Linked DNA regions of Nothobranchius furzeri. The protein of the gene in region 1 interacts with the protein of each later gene in a pairwise test. Links are inferred from orthologs where the notes say so. Each region holds a gene or a part of one and is shown in the gene's direction. Other genes may lie near its edges.

What was found. The genes of interacting proteins can lie anywhere in the genome.
Region 2: the proteins of morn3 (region 1) and rsph1 interact in binary tests that used the Homo sapiens proteins (3 or more experiments, as listed by UniProt). The two-hybrid records come from large-scale screens. The link is inferred for Nothobranchius furzeri from reciprocal best matches to the Homo sapiens genes MORN3 and RSPH1.

Annotation. Positions count from the first base shown.
Region 1 is NC_091746.1:51,960,321-51,967,896, reverse strand, and holds morn3 (MORN repeat-containing protein 3), read left to right. Parts: upstream 1-1,156; 5' UTR 1,157-1,286; intron 1,287-2,234; 5' UTR 2,235-2,258; coding exon 2,259-2,400; intron 2,401-2,481; coding exon 2,482-2,639; intron 2,640-2,725; coding exon 2,726-2,882; intron 2,883-2,971; coding exon 2,972-3,156; intron 3,157-3,635; coding exon 3,636-3,722; 3' UTR 3,723-3,768; downstream 3,769-7,576. Other genes in the region: tmem120b (transmembrane protein 120B), read right to left, coding at 831-893. UniProt on the Homo sapiens protein: Assembles a suppression complex (suppresome) by tethering SIRT1 and MDM2 to regulate composite modifications of p53/TP53.
Region 2 is NC_091756.1:21,500,449-21,511,909, forward strand, and holds the start of rsph1 (radial spoke head 1 homolog), read left to right. Parts: upstream 1-5,142; 5' UTR 5,143-5,281; coding exon 5,282-5,332; intron 5,333-11,461.

The DNA of each region.
Region 1 (7,576 bases):
CAGTTGTGCTTTTTTCCCTTCAGTATTACTCACACGATCGTCCTCTTTTTCTCTGTACTTTTAACGTCAACTTGATGTCGTTGTGTTTTTTCCTCATCTTGATGTACTTTTGAGCCACTGATTGTATTTTTCAAACCTACATATCTCAGAACTGACAGTGGCCAGGAAATCAACAGATTTAGCAGAAGACATTATGAAAACTTCCGTTTTGTCATCACATCTTAAGGATTTTATATATATATATATATATATATATATATATATATATAATATATATATATAATATTAAACATCTAAGCCATCCACAGACTTTAACGTAGTTGTTGCTCCAAGTTGTTTCCAGATGGTCAACTACAGCTAAAAGGTGAGCTAGCCTCTTTACTAAAGATAGAGGATGACTTTGGTGGCTACTAAGTAGTTTATTGATGCAAAGGAATTGAGACAAGACCACCCTAGGACCTTCACATAACCTCGATAGCAATTGTGCAACCCACAGCACCATGTCACTGAGTTCTTGCTCTACTGTAGCTGCTTCTCGGTGGAAACCACAAAAAGGACGAGACGTCTGCTGCTAACATTAGCTACAACAACACAATCATGGTAGTCTACTCAAAGATGATAAAAACACACCAAAACACGGTTTATAGCGCAGGCATTTGAACTAACAGTAGGTGTTGGGTCAACGCTGCGTTTCAAACAAACAGCCGAATACGAATGGTGAAGAAACAGCCAAACTACTAGAAGCCGCTACTGCATCTGTCAGTGTCATCCACCATACGCTGCTGCCTGAAGAAACACCCACCAAACACTCATTAAAGGCTTCCTGTCACCTGTAATTGTTGATATTCCTTGTCAATGTCATTCCATTCTGCCTGGAAATGTTGCCTGGACATTGTGGTTCACTAGAGGGAGTTACGAAGAGGACGCTTCACAAGGTTCCTCGCTCCTCGACTCTTCCCCAAGCGGGCTCGCGCTCCGTCCGTCCCACTCAGAGGCGTTTTAATTGTACTGCTTGGCGCATGCGCACTTCCACCAGTCAGCTAAACGTTTATGATCTGATGGTGAACCCGCATAAAGTAAACAAACGCGCAAATAATAAACAAAAACAAAAATTTTCTCAGGCATCGGCAGCACCGTTTCTTCAGTTTCATTTCTTTTACTGATTCAATGTTTACAAAGTTTTGATTAAAGCCACACCAATCACAGCAGGCGTTACTGTTGCTAGGATACAACAAAACTGTTTTCTCAGCTTTAGATCAATCGGCATATATGGATCAAGAGGAAAGGTTAGACAAGTCTTCATTCTTCGGTAGCCCAATGGCGTTAGTTTATGTGCAGACTATTTAAGTGGGTCATCTGCGTGGACGCATCTCTAAGGCATCCTTCTTTTCAAGCTAAAAATTCGTTTTTGAGTGTATTTTCTGTCAACAAGCCGTTAAAGATCTGTTAAAAATAGATGTTTACACACGTATGTACGTACAGCTCATTTTCTAGTTTCAGTAAAAATACTTTTGTTTAGGCAAAGGCTATGTGTCCAAACTTTTCAAAACCAAAATAAAATCCTCAAGTTAAAAATCCTTGCATGCAGCAAAAATGTGATTTATTTAAAAGAAAAAGTAAAAAAAAAAACAATACATAAAATACTGCTCAAAATGGGCTGTATTTGTGGCAACTTTTAGAGATGCCACAAACACTCGCAAAACAAACTGGAAGGTTGTCACGTTCTAACATTAACTTTACTGTTTTGACAGTATAATTTTCACATTCTTACAACATGTTATCATGTTTGTGCAATATAAATGTCCCATTCATACAATATAATATGTACTGTATATTGTAAGAATGTGACATTATATTCTCCAAACGTGGTAAATATGCACAGACTTGAACATGCTATGGTAAGAACATGATAGTGTATTGTACAAACATGAACGTTAGATTGTTGGATCAATAAAATTATGATGTCTTAACGTGATATCACTCTAATTTTATTTTGCGAGGGTTGCAGCTCTACGCTTCAAACATATTAGTAAAAATGAACATGACATCTTCAGCATGCTGGAGAAACAAATCCTACAGTTCAAGAAATGAAATTTGGGCCACACAAAATCATTCTCGTGGCCTCAAATGGCCCCCGGGCCATGCTTTTGTTATACTTGCTGTAATGAGATTTATTATTTGTTTAATGACTGAAAATCAACTAATATCTTTTCATGATTTATTTTCTTACACAGAACGTCACCACACCTCCCCAAGTGATGCCAAATTACAAACTAACTAAGAAAACTTCAGTCTCAAGACTGAAAGAGATGAAATCACAGAAATGTGTACTTCGACACACAGTTTTCTCAGTCAACGGAAATCAATACAATGGAGAGTGGCTCAACAACAAGAAGCATGGTTGGATTTTTCTTTCTTTATTTGTTGAAAAACCATCATGTAAATTGAAAACTTTTATATTGTCCTGTGTTGTTTTTCAAGGCAAGGGAATTCAGGTGTGGAAACAAGCTGGTGCCATCTATGATGGGGAATGGAAATTTGGAAAACGTAATGGATACGGAACCTATAGCGTGTTACTCCTAAAATCAAAGGAGTATGTGAGGAAGTACGCTGGTGAATGGAAAAATGGGAAGAAGCATGTAAATGTCTCACAGTCTGTTACAACACACAAATCTAACATGAACACACGCTCTGTTTAGTATACTTTCGCTCTATGTCTTTTCAGGGTTATGGGGTGTATTTTTACAACAACTCGGCAGTCTATGATGGAGAGTGGAGTGAGGACCAACGTAGTGGTAAGGGAACGATGCACTATGAGAATGGCGACATCTATGTGGGAGAGTGGCAGATGGATAAAAGTCATGGGCAAGGACACTTATTCTGTAAGAGAATGTTGCTATACATACCTTTGATAAAAAATGAGCAGTTATTTGCACTCCCCCAATGAAAACATTTCCATCTTCTGTTGAAGCTAATGGAAAACTGTACGAAGGCACCTGGGAAGATGGCAAGATGAACGGCGACGGGAAGTTGTACTATTCTGAAAAAGGTCTGCTTTATGAAGGCTTTTGGGTTGATGGAGAAGCAAAATGTGGCACCATGATGGACTTTAGAAGGGACAAAGCCCCAGCACCACCGAAGTATCCATTTCCAAAGGTACGAGACCAAAGAATTCCCTTAATTTCTGCACCTATTTTGTAACATCAAAAGGCAAACAGACTGCATGGCGGCGCGGTCGGTAGCACTGTAGCCTTGCAGAAGAAGCTCACAGGTTCCAATCCAAGCTGAGGTCTTTCTGTGCACACTTAGCGTGTTCTGCACATGCATGTGTAGGTTTCCCACCACAGATCAAAAACATGCACATTAGCTCAACTGAAAACTTGAAATGGCCTCTTTGTTGTAAGTGAGTGTGTGACTGGTTGCCTGTCTCATTTGTCCCTGCGTGTCCCTGTGATGGAGTTGTGGACAGTCCAGGGTGGCCCCTGCCTTCCAACGGGTTATTACTTGAGTTAGGCACCAGCTCCCTGCAACCCTAATAAGGAATAAGCAGTTCACATAAAGGATGGATGAAAAACTATCCCTTTTCAAATGCCACCCTAATTTTTCAAACACTAATTTCTTTCCTCCCTTTCAAGCTACACTTGAAGGACGTGGAATCGGTTTTAAGGGAAGCCAAATCAGCCTGCCTGGATCACTGCTGTCAACAATCATCAAGAGGATAAACAAGTTTGTGCTTCATCAAAAATAAATAAATGCCAAAAAAATTAACGATGCATTCAGCATACTTCTTTTCTGTAACCCTGTAATCTGCTAATTTGAAAAGTAGAAATTAACATGTTTATTCTATCTGTTACTACTGTTAATATTTGAAATTACCTCATTAGTAACGTGAACTAGATTAACATGTAAAGCTAACCTGATGCAACCCAAATACAAGATCATGAAACTTGGCTTGTGATTGAATGCAATCTACTGAAAAGGCTGTTTTGCTGAATTGATCAAATAAATAATAATCATACTTTTTAAAGAATCTCCAACATATTTATGCTGATGACATTCAACAGTACATCTCCTTTAAACCCTATGAGATGTCATTCTACTGAAACAGCTCCTCTTAGACTCTCTAATGACCTTCAGAGTCACAGTGATGCAGGGGACTGTTCTGTTCTGGTTCTGCTGGACCTGACTGTTGATTATTACCTGCTACTGGATAGGCTGAGAGACTGGGTAGGCCAACTGCTCTGGAGGGTTTTTTCTCTTATCTATCTGAGCGTTCCTTATCATGACCGTTTCTATGTTTGCCCTCCTCCACCTCTCTCACCCATGGTGTCCCACAAGGCTCTGTGCTGGGACCACTACTATTCCTCCTTTATCTGCTTCCTCTCTAGCAAATCCTGAGCTATTTTAAAGGAATCTTCCCTCTTTATGCAGATGACACCCAACTGGACATCTCCTTCAATCTCCAAGAGATGCCTAAGCTGCAACTATTACACACTTGCTTAGACTCTTTTAAAAACTGGATGGCTAGGAATGTTCTACTGCTGAATGATGACAAGGCTGAGATCCTCATCTGGTTCCCAACCTGATTCCCAAAGTCAGAGCCTCTCTTGTGCCACTTACACACTAGCATGGCCTCCACTCCGTGCCACCTACCCCAGCCCAGCCACGTTTGTTCCACACTGCCTTAGCAATATGGACGTAATTGAGCATGTGGGCGGTATGTGGTCTGTGATGTTGCAAGCGCACGTGGGCGGGGAATATGATCGAGAAGTCTGCGGTGTCTCCATTATTAAACAAAGTAGCCTGAGCAGTCTTGCTTTTGGAGACTCTCTGACTCTGATATTACATCCTGCTTTGATGTGTCTGGCAGCATTGTGTGTGCGCATGCCTCACAGCAGAGAGCAGAGAAAAATGGCTTCAGTCAGAGGCTCGTTAACTCCACAGCATCCAGAATGATAATGAATCACGCATGCAGGAAGCCCCCGTGGGCTGATTATGTCTGCCAGTCGGAGGCTACCCCTAATGGTATGCATGCTTCAGTCAGCAATGGGTGTGTTGGACCAGTTTGGCTCCAGGCAAACCTCCTTGAGAAGAGGGTTGAAAATACGTACGGTTACGCACAGAATAATCCAAGGCTACATAAATGAGAACTCCCCCAACCTGGCCAGGCAGAGTAGAGCTGATGCTAGTGTGTAACGGCCATTGGTCAGCTTGCTTCTAAAGCTGGGCAGACACTGTGCAACTTTTTTCACTCGTAGCACTCAGCTTCAGCTCAAACTGTACGACTTCATCGCAGGGCAGATCTCATGAGCCATGTGCTCACACTGTACGACCCAGTTCTCGGATGCGACCTGACTGCTCACACTGTACGTCTGGTAGCAACAAGTCGGACCAAAAAATATGCTAAAAATAGCAGTTTTTACACAACACGTCAGACTTTTTTTGTCTTGCCTGTTGTCCTTTGGGAGTGCTGCAGGAGGACACAGGGATTTATGGGGGTTGGATGAGGAAAACAAAATAAAGAAAGTAAATCTGTGTTTTGTGATCAGTTTAATTTGACATGAATACGACAAACACGCTTTCTTGACAATCTCTGTGAGTAAAAAAAAGTGTAGAAATAAAAACGAACAATGTGTGCTATTAGGGAAATAGTGGGCGAGCGGCGTTGATGCATGATTGAGCATGCGCCGTGAGTGGTTCTGATACTTTTTGGGTCGCAGCTGCTCGCAGCATCACTTCAACAGTGCGATACCCTCACGAGGGACGAGCAAAATATCAAACATGCCAGAAGTCCGTGCGAGCTCACGATTGCTGATGGGTAGCTGGTCACGTGGTGTTAATCGCCTCTCGTAACCCCCTGTGCACTACACGACGCTCAGCGCAAAACTCGCCCCGATCTTGTGGATTCTTGCACGAGTGGAAAATCGGGTCAAAAAAGTGAAAAAGTCGCACAGCGTATGCCCGGCTTAATACCAAACCCCCTGTCAAGAATCTCGGTGTGACCTTTGACCCAGCACTCACCCTGGATCACCCATGTCAATTATTTTGTTCAAGTGGAGGAGTTTAAGCATCTCTGGGTCTTTTCCACGAGTGGGGGAAAGATGGAGGACAAGATCGACAGGCGGATTGGTGCTGCGTCTGCAGTGATGTGAGCGTTGTAACGATCTGTCAGGGTGAAATTAGAGCTGAGCCAGAAGGCAAAGCTCTCGATTTACCAGTTGATCTACGTTCCAACCCTCACCTATGGTCACAAGCTTTGGTGACCGAAAGAAAGATTGTGGATACGAGCGGCCAAAATGAGTTTCCTCTGCAGGGTGGCCGGGCTCTCCCTTACAGATAGGGTGAGGAGCTTGGTCATCCAAGAGGGGCTCAGAGTAGACCCGCTGCTCCTCCACATCGAGAGAAGCCAGTTGAGGTGGCTCGGACATCTAGTTAGGATGCCTTCTGGATGCCTCCATAGTTAGGTTTTCCTGGCATGTCCATCCGGGAGAAAACCCAAAGGAAGACCCAAAATAGGCTGGAAGGACTATGTCTGTCGACTGGCCAGGGAATGCCTTGGGATTCCCCCGGAGGAGCTAGCCCAAGTGGCTGGGGAGACGGAAGTCTGGGCATCCCTGCTTAAGCTGGGCAGACACTGTGCGACTTTTTCACCTTTTTTTTCCACTCGTGTAAGAATCCACAAGATCGAGGCAAATATTACGCTGAGCATCGTGTAGTATACAGGGGGTAACGAGAGGCGATTAACACCACGTGACCAGCTACCAATCAGCAATCATGAGCTTCTTGCATGTTTGATATTTTGCTCGTCCCTCGAGAGGGTTGAAGCAGCGCTGCAAGCGGGTCGAATCCAAAAAGTACCAGAACTGCTCACAGCGAATGTGCAAGCATGTGTCAACACGGCTCGCCAGCTATTTCCCTGCTAACATGCGTCGTTTATTTTCATTTGTGCACTTTTTTACGCACACAATGACAAGGATTATCAAGAAAGCATGTTTGCCGTGTTTATGTCAAATTAAACTGATCACAAAACACTGATTTACTTTCTTTCGTTTTCCTCCTCCATCCCCCATAAATCCCTGTGTGTCCTCCAACAGCATTCTCATCCTAAAGGACAACAGACATCAGTAACAACACAAAAAAAGTCAGGCGTGTTGTGTAAAAACTGCTGTTTTTTATCATATTATTAGGTCCAACGTGCTGCTACTCGACATAGTGTGAGCAGTCAGGTCGCATCCGAGAAATGGGTCATACGGTGTGAGAACATGACTCGTGAGATTTGCTCTGCTAGGAAGTCGTACAGTTTGAGCTGAAGCTGAACGCTACGAGTGAAAAAGTCACAGTGTCCGCTCAGCTTTAGGCTACTGCCCTTGCGACCCAACCCTGGATAAGCGACCAAAAATGGATGGATGGAGTTCTTTTGTTCGCTCTTCCTTCTTTCATCTCTGGAACATTGCTAAAGTGAGTCCCATTCTGTCATGCTCTGAACTTGACATTGTTATTCACACCTTCATTTTCTCCTCTTTAGACTACTGCAACTCTGTCTGAGCAAAACCTCCTCGAAATGTTCAGGTAGCTC
Region 2 (11,461 bases), on another chromosome or scaffold:
AAGTGCAGGTCACAAGTGTTGTTTTATTGCTTTTATTTTGCTTTTTGTTTTTACATTTTTCCGGGGAGGGGGGGGGGGGGGGGGGGGGACCGGAGCTCCTGGAGAAAAACACAACATAAAAACTCCGCACTAAAAGATTCCAATTCATTTCAGTTCAGTTTATTTAAACAGCACCAATTCACATTTCAATTCACCGCAAGGCATTTTACAAAGCTAACTTTCCGATTGAACTTATTAAGCAGTGCATTAAGTTCAGTTCATTTTTCCAATCAGTTAAAAGTTTCCTAAATAAGGAACCCAGTGGATTGCATCGAGTCACTGACTAGTGTCAGAGGCTTTACAGCAATCCTCATACTAAGCAAGCATGTGGTGACGGTGGAGGGGAAAACTCCCCTTTAACAGCCGTCTGTCACGACTCACTGGGGGGTTTGAGAAGACAAGTCCTTTCTCTTAAAGAGAGTACAAAGGTAATAGTAGGAGGGGTTTCCCCCAGAAAACTAGCTGAGCCTGGCAGACTATGAGAAGGGGGCGGGGTATGCACGGGAGGCCAAGCAAGGCCTGGTGGTCCGCCAGGCTTATAAAGCACTGGGGGGAAGCCTGGATGACATCACCGGAAAGTTTTTTAACACCAAAGTGTAAAAAACACCACTTAAAACTACTCAACCGACGTCGGAGTTTTACCCGCGCAGCAGACAGAAGCCGCGATCAGACAGAGATGCACCAAGCTGCGGGGAGGGGAGAAACAGGTGGAAAACATCGGTCTCCTGAGAGCTCCATGAGCCGATAGTCGGAACCCAGCTCCACCAACATGTTATATTTCAACCCATTTTCTAAAGTGCAGCATTATGTTAAATGCACTGGGTTTACCCTATTACATTTAAATTTCATGGTTTCGGATGCTCATTAATAAGAAAAATAAATATAAAAAATGTCCACACAATGAGATGAGTCCAGAGCTTTTCTGAATTTCTCCGTGTATATGAGCAGCTCCATGGCATAGGACATCAGCTGCCTCTCACTAATGAGACAAAGATAAATAGCAATTAGTAAAAATGACATTTACACCTAGAGGCTGTCATAAACAACGTGAAAACAATACATATAGGCATTAGCACTGTTCTTGTGTTTGTAGCATACCTCCGGGCTACCACATTGCCGTCGTGAGTTTGCTGCTTATTAGATGAGGAGTCATAAACGGTCAAATAAATAGCCTATTGTTACGTTTATTTTGGCCAAAAGGCTTGCAAGTAGCCCATTAAAAATTATATTAAAAAAATTTGCATCCATGACATCTTCCCCCACTGCCAATAATGCTTAATTTTATATAAAAGTGTTTCAGAAAAAAAATACGAATGTGCTATCTATCAAACTATGTCTTAAACGTTCAAATTTCTAGTACAAAATCTTCGCAAGTTGTAAAAATATAAATCTGACTTTACCTGAACCGTCATTTCCATCTCTTGCAACACGCATGCGAGTTCTCGTCTTCGTACATGCACGCGTACAAATTTTGTACATAGGGGCGTGTTTGGCCGGGGCGTGTTTGGCCGGGGCTGCGTCCGCAGCTAGACCTTACTCGCATTGTGGGGGCTTGATTGGGACACATGATGGAGCTAAGACCAGCTGAGAACTCGTCAGCTTAGAGCTCCCAGTGGAGCACAGAAAATAAATATTTAAGAAAGGTAAACAAACTGTACCAATTTTGTTTCTGAAGATGAACAGAATCCTCCTCTATGTCCAAATCGGGTCGCAGGTCTTCTGAGTCAAACGGTCTAAAACATGTCTGCACCTCTGGCAGAGGCGGATTTAGCAATTTGGGGTGCCAAAGCAAACACAGACATGGGGCCCCTTACACTAAATTTTCGACAATCTTACCTTTAACTAGATTTGTGAAACTCTCCCCTCTTCTGACATGAGTTATTTCCCTTTTCCTGTATTTCCCTCTCTTTGAGCGCTTTCAATATTTGCTCTTCTTTCTTCTTCCTGTCAGTGCTCCTGTGCTTTTGCCTTTGGTATTTTTTTCTATTTTCCATTTTGGTCTATGTTTTCCTCCCTTTTCCATTGTCTTTCCTTTCTGCTTCCTTTTGATGTTTACATCGAAAAACGATGTCAATTTCAGAAGTGAAAATAAAAGCTTTTATGAAGCAAGCTGCTTCTTTCTCTTATTGGAGCCACTAGGATAACGCCATTTCATGCTTCATGTTTTGACTATCGCTTTGAGTTTGTTACGAACGCCCCTGCCTCTCTTCTTCTTACTATTTGTGGTCTTATGGCACTTGGCAAACAACCATTTGGTGCATTACCGCCACCAACTGGATTGGAGTGGAATGACTACCAATCACTTCCTGTTTGTGCATCACCGTCTTAATAACCCTGTTATGACCATAATTATAACAGGGCCGCCTGGTATTTTTTTTAATCTTATGGCTGTAAAATAGTAATAAAAAGTGCAAAGTGTGTGTAACTCTTATTTTTTCAGAACAACCTCAGCTTTCAGTGTATGGTTTGTATTTAGAATTTATTTCTATTACAGCCTTTCAAAAATCAGCTTAAAAGTGAAAAAAGCAAAAAACGGATTTGAATTTTTTACATTTATTACTGAACAGGAACTTCAAAATTACTGGGTGAACAATTTAAACTTTGGACTGAAATGCATCTATTCTTAAAAAGTGTGAACCTTGGTATCTTTTATTAGCAGTTTTTAAGACCATTTATTTTTGTAAACTTTCAGACATTTTTATTTGATGTGGTAGACCTTGAAGCAGTTTCTCTCCAGCTGCAGGCCGAGTCCTGCACACCTCACACTGCCATAGAGTGCTTCTCTTGCACACCGTGCATTGCTATACCAAAAACTTGTTTTAGTAAAAATAATTATTTATTGTAAAATGATAAATAATGCTGGAATGAAGCTGAATCTTACAATTAGCAAATAGTTGAGGGTTGTTCCAATAAAAAAATAAAAAATAAAGACGGAACAAACATTCATACCCTGGTTCACTGGAGATCTGTCCTTCGTGGTCACTGTCTTCAGATATAAGCCTTCTGGGACACCTAATAGATCGTGTTGATTTTCTTTGGGGCATTTCCATAATTTCATGCTGGTTTTATGCTAATTAGCTTCCCCGTTCCGTTATCCGCTTTCACCGCGGCACTGCGCTCCTTTTCAATCAGGCTGTACAGCAGGATTTCCCCTCGTAGCAATATTTTCCGTAACTCTGATTGATTCATGCTATAGGTCGTTGGAAAGCTGCTTTTATGTACGTTTAGGAACCGTTGGAATGTTCTGAATCTGATCATCCACTCAAAAGTTATAAAACGGAGCATTTTGGATGACAAACTCAGCACGTCTCTGAATCTGTGTTGTGATTCGTTGCGCTCAAGACAGGGAATGCCGGTGGCTACCGTAATGTATTGTATATGCACGAAAAGCCCCATTTTTAATCTTTTCAGCACTTTTGGAATTTTAATGATATCTTGAATTGTTCAGGAATTATGGTAATGAGAAGTGTGCATGTCCAATCCCGTCTGCGGCCACAGGTTGGTAATAAGAATATTGTGGCATTAACAGAGGGGTGCCGGCGGTCAGGGCTAGGGGGCCCCCCAACACAAGGGGGCCCCAGGCGGCCGCCGACCTATGCCTAATGGTAAAACTGCCTCTGACCTCTGGTAGTGATATCCAGCTGGCGGGGTCGGGGTTCGGTTGAACGTCTCCGGTAATCCAATATCCGTTCTCGTCGCCGTATCCCAGAGAAAAAACAAATCTGACCGACTAGCAGAGGCTTCAGAAGCTACATCTGATTGATGACACATTGTTCTCTGCTATAACGCTAATGCAGAAACACCGGAGACAGGCGTTGTTTACTACAGCTGTTTCAGCAGAGCTCCATGTGAAACGTCACCAGCTGCCCAGGGCTTAGACCGGATGTTAGTTTCTGTTTTTCCCGCGCCGGTCACAAACATCAGATTTTCTTACAATTCCAGCCGTCAAAATCCAAAAACCTTTTCATCTGAGGTTTTAATACACATTTACACATGCTGTTCAAACGAATTTTGCCTCTAGCCGATATCTTTAAATGAGTGAGTGAACCCACTACCAAGGATGAACTCTGCTAACTTTAAAAATCAGCTGCTCTAAATAGGTCAGAGAGGAGCTCTAGGATGGACATGGATAAAGGAACTGTAGTGTAGAGGTAAAGTAGGGCAGGGCCAACGTTAGCAGCTGTCATACGGTCCATCTGAAATGTTTGACTGCATTAGGCTTGTTATGTGACAGGTTAGAGCACAGTCTCATGTTAGTGTTGTCATGAGAACATTGAGATACCTCACATACTGATGGCATCTAAAAATTAACATTTTTTTTCAATATAAAGAATAATTTAAATCACAATTGAAACGTACAATCCTAGAAAAACCTCATCCAATCAATGTGCATGTCCTGTTCTCACTGATTGGATAGAAATCCTTCCATCAAACTGTGTGTGTGTCCGTGTGTGTGCGTGCACACACGAGCATGTTGTGAACTGGTGGTGTGGTTTTGCACTGATGTAACCATCTTTACACTGACAAAAATGTAACTAAGTAACTTTTACTTTGAGTACATTTTATTTACGATACTTTTTACTTTTACTTGAGTAAAAATTTAGGCAAGTACTTTTACTTGTACTTGAGTAAAAAATTATCAAAGTACTGGTACTCATACTTAAGTAGGAAATTTTAGTACTCTTTCCACCTCTGGTCATTCCTTTAAACAGTAAAACAACAACAACAACAAATAAAATAAGATGGAGAAGTCATAGTTTGTAGAGCAGTGAGGACCCTCATGACCCCAAATCCTCACCTCTCACTTCCCTGTTATACAAAAATGTAATTTAGAATTTTGTAAACAACATGTAACGAAAAATAGAGATAATATTCAAGGTTGTAATAATTTCATAAGAACGAAGATGTGAGATGTGGTTGAGGATCTGAGATAAATTAAGACACACACACACACACAGAGAGAGGGAGAGAGAGAGAGAGAGAGAGAGAGAGAGAGAGAGAGAGAGAGAGAGAGAGAGAGAGAGAGAGAGAGAGATGATGTTTATTGACAGACCAGGTGGACCTCATTGTTTTCCAGGTAGAATGACTCTACAGTAATGCGCTCTCGTTGCTCATCTTACCTTGATCACGTGGTACGGTTGGTTGCCACGACAACTCCAAATGAGCGGCAACAACAGGCAGTGTTTATCCAGCAGTTTCTTCTGCGTTCTTCTTCTGGAGTAAAGCCAGCTTGTCTCGGACAATGTCGGACGTAGGATCCGATGAGCTCGACGAAGGAAGTCCTGACGGCAGGGTGAGAGACTTCAGTAAAGTTAGCAAGATATTCACAGATTCGACTTTTGCGGCTCAATACCTCCTGAACACAGGGGTATTTAGAAACATAACATACCTCTTTGGTATCGTGGCAAGGTAGTGAGCAAGCTACAACTTCGTTTCTTTAAAAAAAAATCCGTTCTCTGTCGTGCTCTGCTCCCGACGCGTTAATTGATCTCAATGAGGCCGACAGAGCAAAACGAGCGCTCAGGGACCGTCAGCAAATAATCACACCAGAAACGTTTGATGATAAACTATGTGGGAAAAGTGCACAGTTACACACTGCAGTGTGACCAAATTCACAAAATACAACACTGCACACACGCTGATCACACTACACTATTTAGTTTAATCCAGGTATACAGTTTAGATTTAGTGTGAAACTTTTAATAATATAAATTGCAAAAGCTCCTCCATTTGAAACTATAGTGACACCAAATTCACACAGAAAATCACAACTTGGATGCTCATATTACACATTTTATGTTTTTAGAGAAAATACTACACTTTTCTTTACTCCCTCCCCTCTGCTTTTGGTGATATTAAATTAAAAAAAACTCCTATACTGTAAACTCTGTTGACACAAAATTATGCATGCAGGTCAATACTTAGCTGCTCTATGTACTACAAACTTTACTTTGAGCAAAAAATACTTCTCTGATTTTTTGTAAATTTTTTAAGTTTTCTCATTTCAATAGGTCTGTAAACACTGTAAACTCTGTTGACACAAAATCATGCGTTCAATCCACGGATTCTGTCAGAAACGAATGAATCTTTGGAAGTGATCTCCGACCCACAAAAACCTACGGATCTGGATGAAGAGAGTCAACCCTCAACCGCCGCAGCAGTCCAGGGTTTTGCCGCTGGAAACGCTAACGCTAAAGTTAGCTAGCCTTGCAACACTATAGATGGTTTTCTGTGTGGCTGTATGTGTTTATGATTTCATGGAAAAGTCAGCGATTGTTCATATGTGTATGATGTGTATTAATGATCCTGTTTGTCCTCTGCGTTCTCCTCATGTGTCTCCTGTTTCCCAGCTTCTCAGGTCTCCCCTAGTCACCCCTCTGTAGTTTTATTTTCTATAGGTTCAGCTTTTCATTTAATTACTTCCCTTTAGTGTTTGTGTCCTTCCCCACTTGTTAATCAGTCTCCCTTACTCCTCTTGTCATTAGTTGTTTATCTTTGCCCTTAGTTTCTAGTTATTTAGAGTTTTTTAGGTTATTTTATCTTCCCCTCTGCTTGATTTTTCCTTCACATTTAGTTAAGGTTGAATACACCTGTTCCCCTGATTGCTTCCCTCTGTGTTAAAAGCCGGTCTTGTCCTTCAGTGTTTGTTGGGTCATTGTCGTATGTGTTGCGTTGTTCGTTCCCCTCTCGAGTCTCCGAGTCCATGCTCATGTGTGAGCTTTTTTAATTTAGAGTTTTCAAGTTTTTGCATGTTAGTCTTATTTTGTGCTTTGGACTTTACAGCACATCCTCCTTAAATAAAGGAATTGTTTGGTTTTTTTCTTAAAACCTCTCCTGCCTTTGAGTAGTTCTGGGTACTTCTGCATCCTGGGTCCAAGCTCCTCTCCTAAACGTGACAGAGTTTTATACCTCAGACCGACCCGATTTAGATCTAGACCTGCTAATAATAATATTCTTTACACTAAACAGAGTATTCTGTATTGTTCACAGACATCCAAACCTTAGAAATGAAATAAAATAAATATTTTAATTAAAAATTATTAATGTTATTTTTTTCATTAAAATTTAGCTATCTGTGACCACTTTTATATTTGATATTGTCCAGTTTAAGCAGACATCTGCTTTTTATATCAGAGCTGAGCTGTGGGAGAAAATATTCAGGCTTATTTAATCTTATTTTCTATCATCTTTGGGGTTAGTGCATTCATTTAATATTAATTATATAATTATAAATGACAGGTCACTACAGTCTGGGCATAGAACGTGCTGTGGGCATTTTCTGTTATTCTTAAAGAAGGAGTCGGAGACGGAGTTCTCAGCCTAGCCTAGTTTGGAGTCACATCAAGTTCACTGTTAGCAAGTACGATAAGCACCTGGCTTTTACTAGAGGCAGAGCAGACCAAAACAGGAAATTCCTTTGGAGCTGATTGTTGAGATGCACACGAACTCTTGCTCAATAAGCTTTTCACCCTAAGAACGCAGTTTCAGCTCAATACATTTTGTAGATGACCTCTTGACCTTTTTGGCGCCGACAGTGCTTGTTGGCAGCAGCTCACCTGTTCCACTGACAGGAGAAACAGGTGATCAACAGAGTAACACTAGCCCAAAAAAAAAAACCCAAAAAACACCGAACTCAAACGGGGCAATTTTCCCAGTCGGGGCCTGGTTCCGCCTGCCGTCCCCGTTAGAGAGGAGCTGCTCATCATGTTATTGTGACACCAGAGCTTTGCTCTGTTGGCGCTCGTTAGTGCGACTATATTCTACAAAGTTTTCATAAATAAGCACAACTTAGATCTGTGGCTCATATTAAACAAAAACCGGACTGTACCGCGGGAGCGAGCTTGCAATTAGGTGTTGGGTGGTGTAATTAGCTGTTGCAAACTGGTGCAAAGTGGTGAGGAAGCGCATTTCAACTACAGAACTGACCGGAATACTGACATAACACCGGTGGTCAAAGGTGCAGGTTTCAATTAGCAACAGGAGAGAGAGGGGGAGAGGTCAAACACAGCAAGAGAAACACTGAGGGACCGGACTTATAGTGAAGTTTTAGAGCTAAACTGCAGAAAAAAATGTTTGTGTTTAACCTCGTCATTAGAAAGTATAGCGTTAACTTTTAATGATAAGGCGGAGCGGCCTTTTGAGGCCTCGATGCAGGGGTGCGCTCTGGAGGGCCCTCGGTCAACCCCCTCCCCCTTTGGTAGGTGGTGGACCCATCTCAGGGTGAAGGTTTTCAGGTGCAGAGACGACGCAGACACTAGGGCGGTCACTGGCGCTGTTGTTGTTAACAACACCTACGGTAGAAATAAGGTCCTGGGGGAGCTCCATGGTCAACGGTTGAGTCAACTGGGTCCAGAGCTTCCACCCACAGATGTCAACAATGAGCTTAGAGCAATTGAGCAGGTATTCGCCAAACAGTAAAGTTAAAGACTCTAGGTCAGACATGAACACTGGGTGTTGCATGGACCGAAAGGTCAAAGAAAGCCACAGACGACAAGGTCACTGGAGCCGGAGCATAAGGACTGACATCCACGGCACAGGATGTGAGTGTTACGACACGACCCTGTCCAGCTGCAGCCAAGCGGAGGCATTCCCAAAGTAGGGCTGGCCGATATGGCCTAAAATCAGTATCATGATATGTTGAGGATTTCACCTCGATAACGATAAATGAACGATAACTACAGGTATGCGCAGAAACAAAAGTTGTCCATTAGACGGGGCTGTCACATGTATTACGTTGAGTCACATTTTTACATGACTCAAGGTGGTGCAGCTTTGACACGAATGTTGCCAACCTACACACATCTTTTCATTTTTTTATTATCAAATTTATTGACATGGGAACATTTTTCCCGATAAGAGTCAGGAATTTTGATGATGATAAATGTTTTGATTTATTGCCCAGCCCTATCCCAAAGAGAATGGGACATGATGGAAATGTCTGAGTCAGTGTCTAAGATAGCATCACAGGTTAGCGACCCCTCAAGGGTCACAGGGAAGGTTTCTGTTTGGGACCTTTACAGATGACATCTCAGAGAAGTCTTAGTTGAGGTTTGTCCAGCGGGAAAGGTTTACTTCACCCACTGACAGGTGCATTGGATGTTCGAGGACTGGTGCTGATGGACGCAACCTCACTGGACCCCACTGGGGTCACAGGTGTCACAGGATGCACCATTGGGGCCGGTTCCACTTTTGGAGGACTCATCGCTTTGACTGAGTCATGTTCTGGTCTGCAGAAGAGATGAGCAGAACTTTAGCCTTTGGTGAGGTGCTTACCCAATCAGAAAAGACAGACTCCAGGATGCAGCTCAGAACGTCAGGAGGCCTGTTACCGGACTCATCTCTTGACCTTGGAGCAGTAGTGCTGTGGTCGGCATGGTCACGGCGCGGTGAATAATGGTAAGGGCGAGGGCGGTGTTCACCAACGTGCTGAACGTGGGCTCCTTTTAGTACTCACTGAATCTTTAGCAGAGGGGGAGTGTTTGAACCGAGAGGGTTTCCGGTACTTCAACCCCAGATACTGCTTCATGGACTAATGGTGACTGACGTAGTGGGAATGTAAAAAAAAACTTTTAAAAGCCGTATTTAGGGGCAGACACGGTAGATGTGAGCGTGAAAGTCACAGTTGATATGAATATTCCACAAATTCCAGCCATCTGGTCTACATGAGGAATTTTCCTTGGATCAAATAATCTTGACATACAAGGGGAGGTAACCCTGAAGGGGAATAAGCCCAAAAACCCTGAGGAATATGGGTATGAAGCATTTCTTTTGAGTCAGGCCAAAAAATATATAAAAAAATATTTACATAAACAATGTACAATTCAATAAAATAATAACTTTATGTATGTATACATAAATAAAAATATAAAACTAAAATGTAAATTTCTGAATAAGAAGGAATGTCTGTAAAAAATGATTCCAATGTGGCAGCCTGATGTCACAATAAGCTAATTAAATGACTGATTTTGCCCCCAACACAAACTACTACTGCTGAAGATTTTTCTCATTTACAATTTACCTTTATCTCCAACCATTTAAAGCTACAACCATTTGTCAAAATGTACAGTAATATTTTCTTGAAAAAACTCCAGCACCGTCTTCTCGCGTCTCTTTTGGCAGTGTATGGCGGACTGCCTCGTTGACTGACATGCGTGGCGGTTAATACATCATGTTGTTTGTTGTTCAATAGCATGCTTAGACAGTTTGAAAGGCAACTGTACAATCACCACACGACTGAGAGCAGTCAGTGGGTCATCGCCAGACTTTATGTATTCACATTTATAGAATAAAATAGGATAGAATACTTTATTTGTCAATTTCTTCGAATGTGCTTGCCATACAAAGGAATTGAAATTACATTTCACACTGTCCCATGCATAGACATTGACAACATAAAGTGCAGATGCACAACAATAACAAAAACATCCCTAACAAAAAGATAATATTAAACAGGTAAATATCGCTAAAAATATACAAAAACATATAGCAGCAGGTGTGTGCAACTGCAATGCAGAGGTAGTTGTTTACAATCAGAAATGTTTACCCCGTTCTTGGTTCAACCACTATTTCCTTTTTGTATAATGTGCATGTATATGGGGGTGGGGGGGTGGGGGGGGGGGGGGTTGTGTAGGGTCCAGTCTGTCATCCTATACTCCTGTCACCCTGGTGATTCTGCTGGCTAGGATCCGTGAGGGAAGAGAGTTCAGCAGTCTCACAGCCTGGTAGACAAAGCTGCTGGTAAGCCTGGTAGTGCGGGAGATCCTTGTCTGTATCTCTTTCCAGAGGGCAGGAGGCTGAACAGACAGTGCGCAGGGTGGGTGGCGTCGTTGACAATTGTGATGGCTTTGCGGGTGAGGCGAGTGGTGTAAATGTCTTGCAGGGAGGGGAGTGGTGCACCAACTATCCTCTCAGCTGTTCTCACAATGCGCTGTAGAGCTTTCCCATTATAGTCAGTGCAGCTACCGCCCCACACAGTGATACAGCTGGAGAGGATGCTTTCAATAGTTCCTCTGTAGAATGTGATCAGGATGGGTGGTGGAGCACTTGCCCACTTGAGTTTGCGCAGGAAGCAAAGGCGCTGATGTGCTTTCTTGGCCAGTGGTGCTGTGTTGGTGGTCCAGGAGAGGTCCTCCCTGATGTGCACCCCCAGGAACTTCGTGCTGCTCACTCTCTCCACCGCAGCGCCGTCGATGGTCAATGGGGGGTAGTTGTTGTGGCCTTTCTGGAAGATGACATTGATCTCCTTGGTCTTACTAACATTTAGTAGGAGGTTGTTGTCTCTGCACCAAGTGGTCAGGAGCTCAACCTCTTTCCTGTAGTGGGTCTCATCGCCCTTGGTGATGAGCCCCACCAGCGTTGTGTCGTCCGCAAACTTCACAAGGTGGTTGGAGCTGTAGGTTGGTGCGCAGTCATGTGTCAGCAG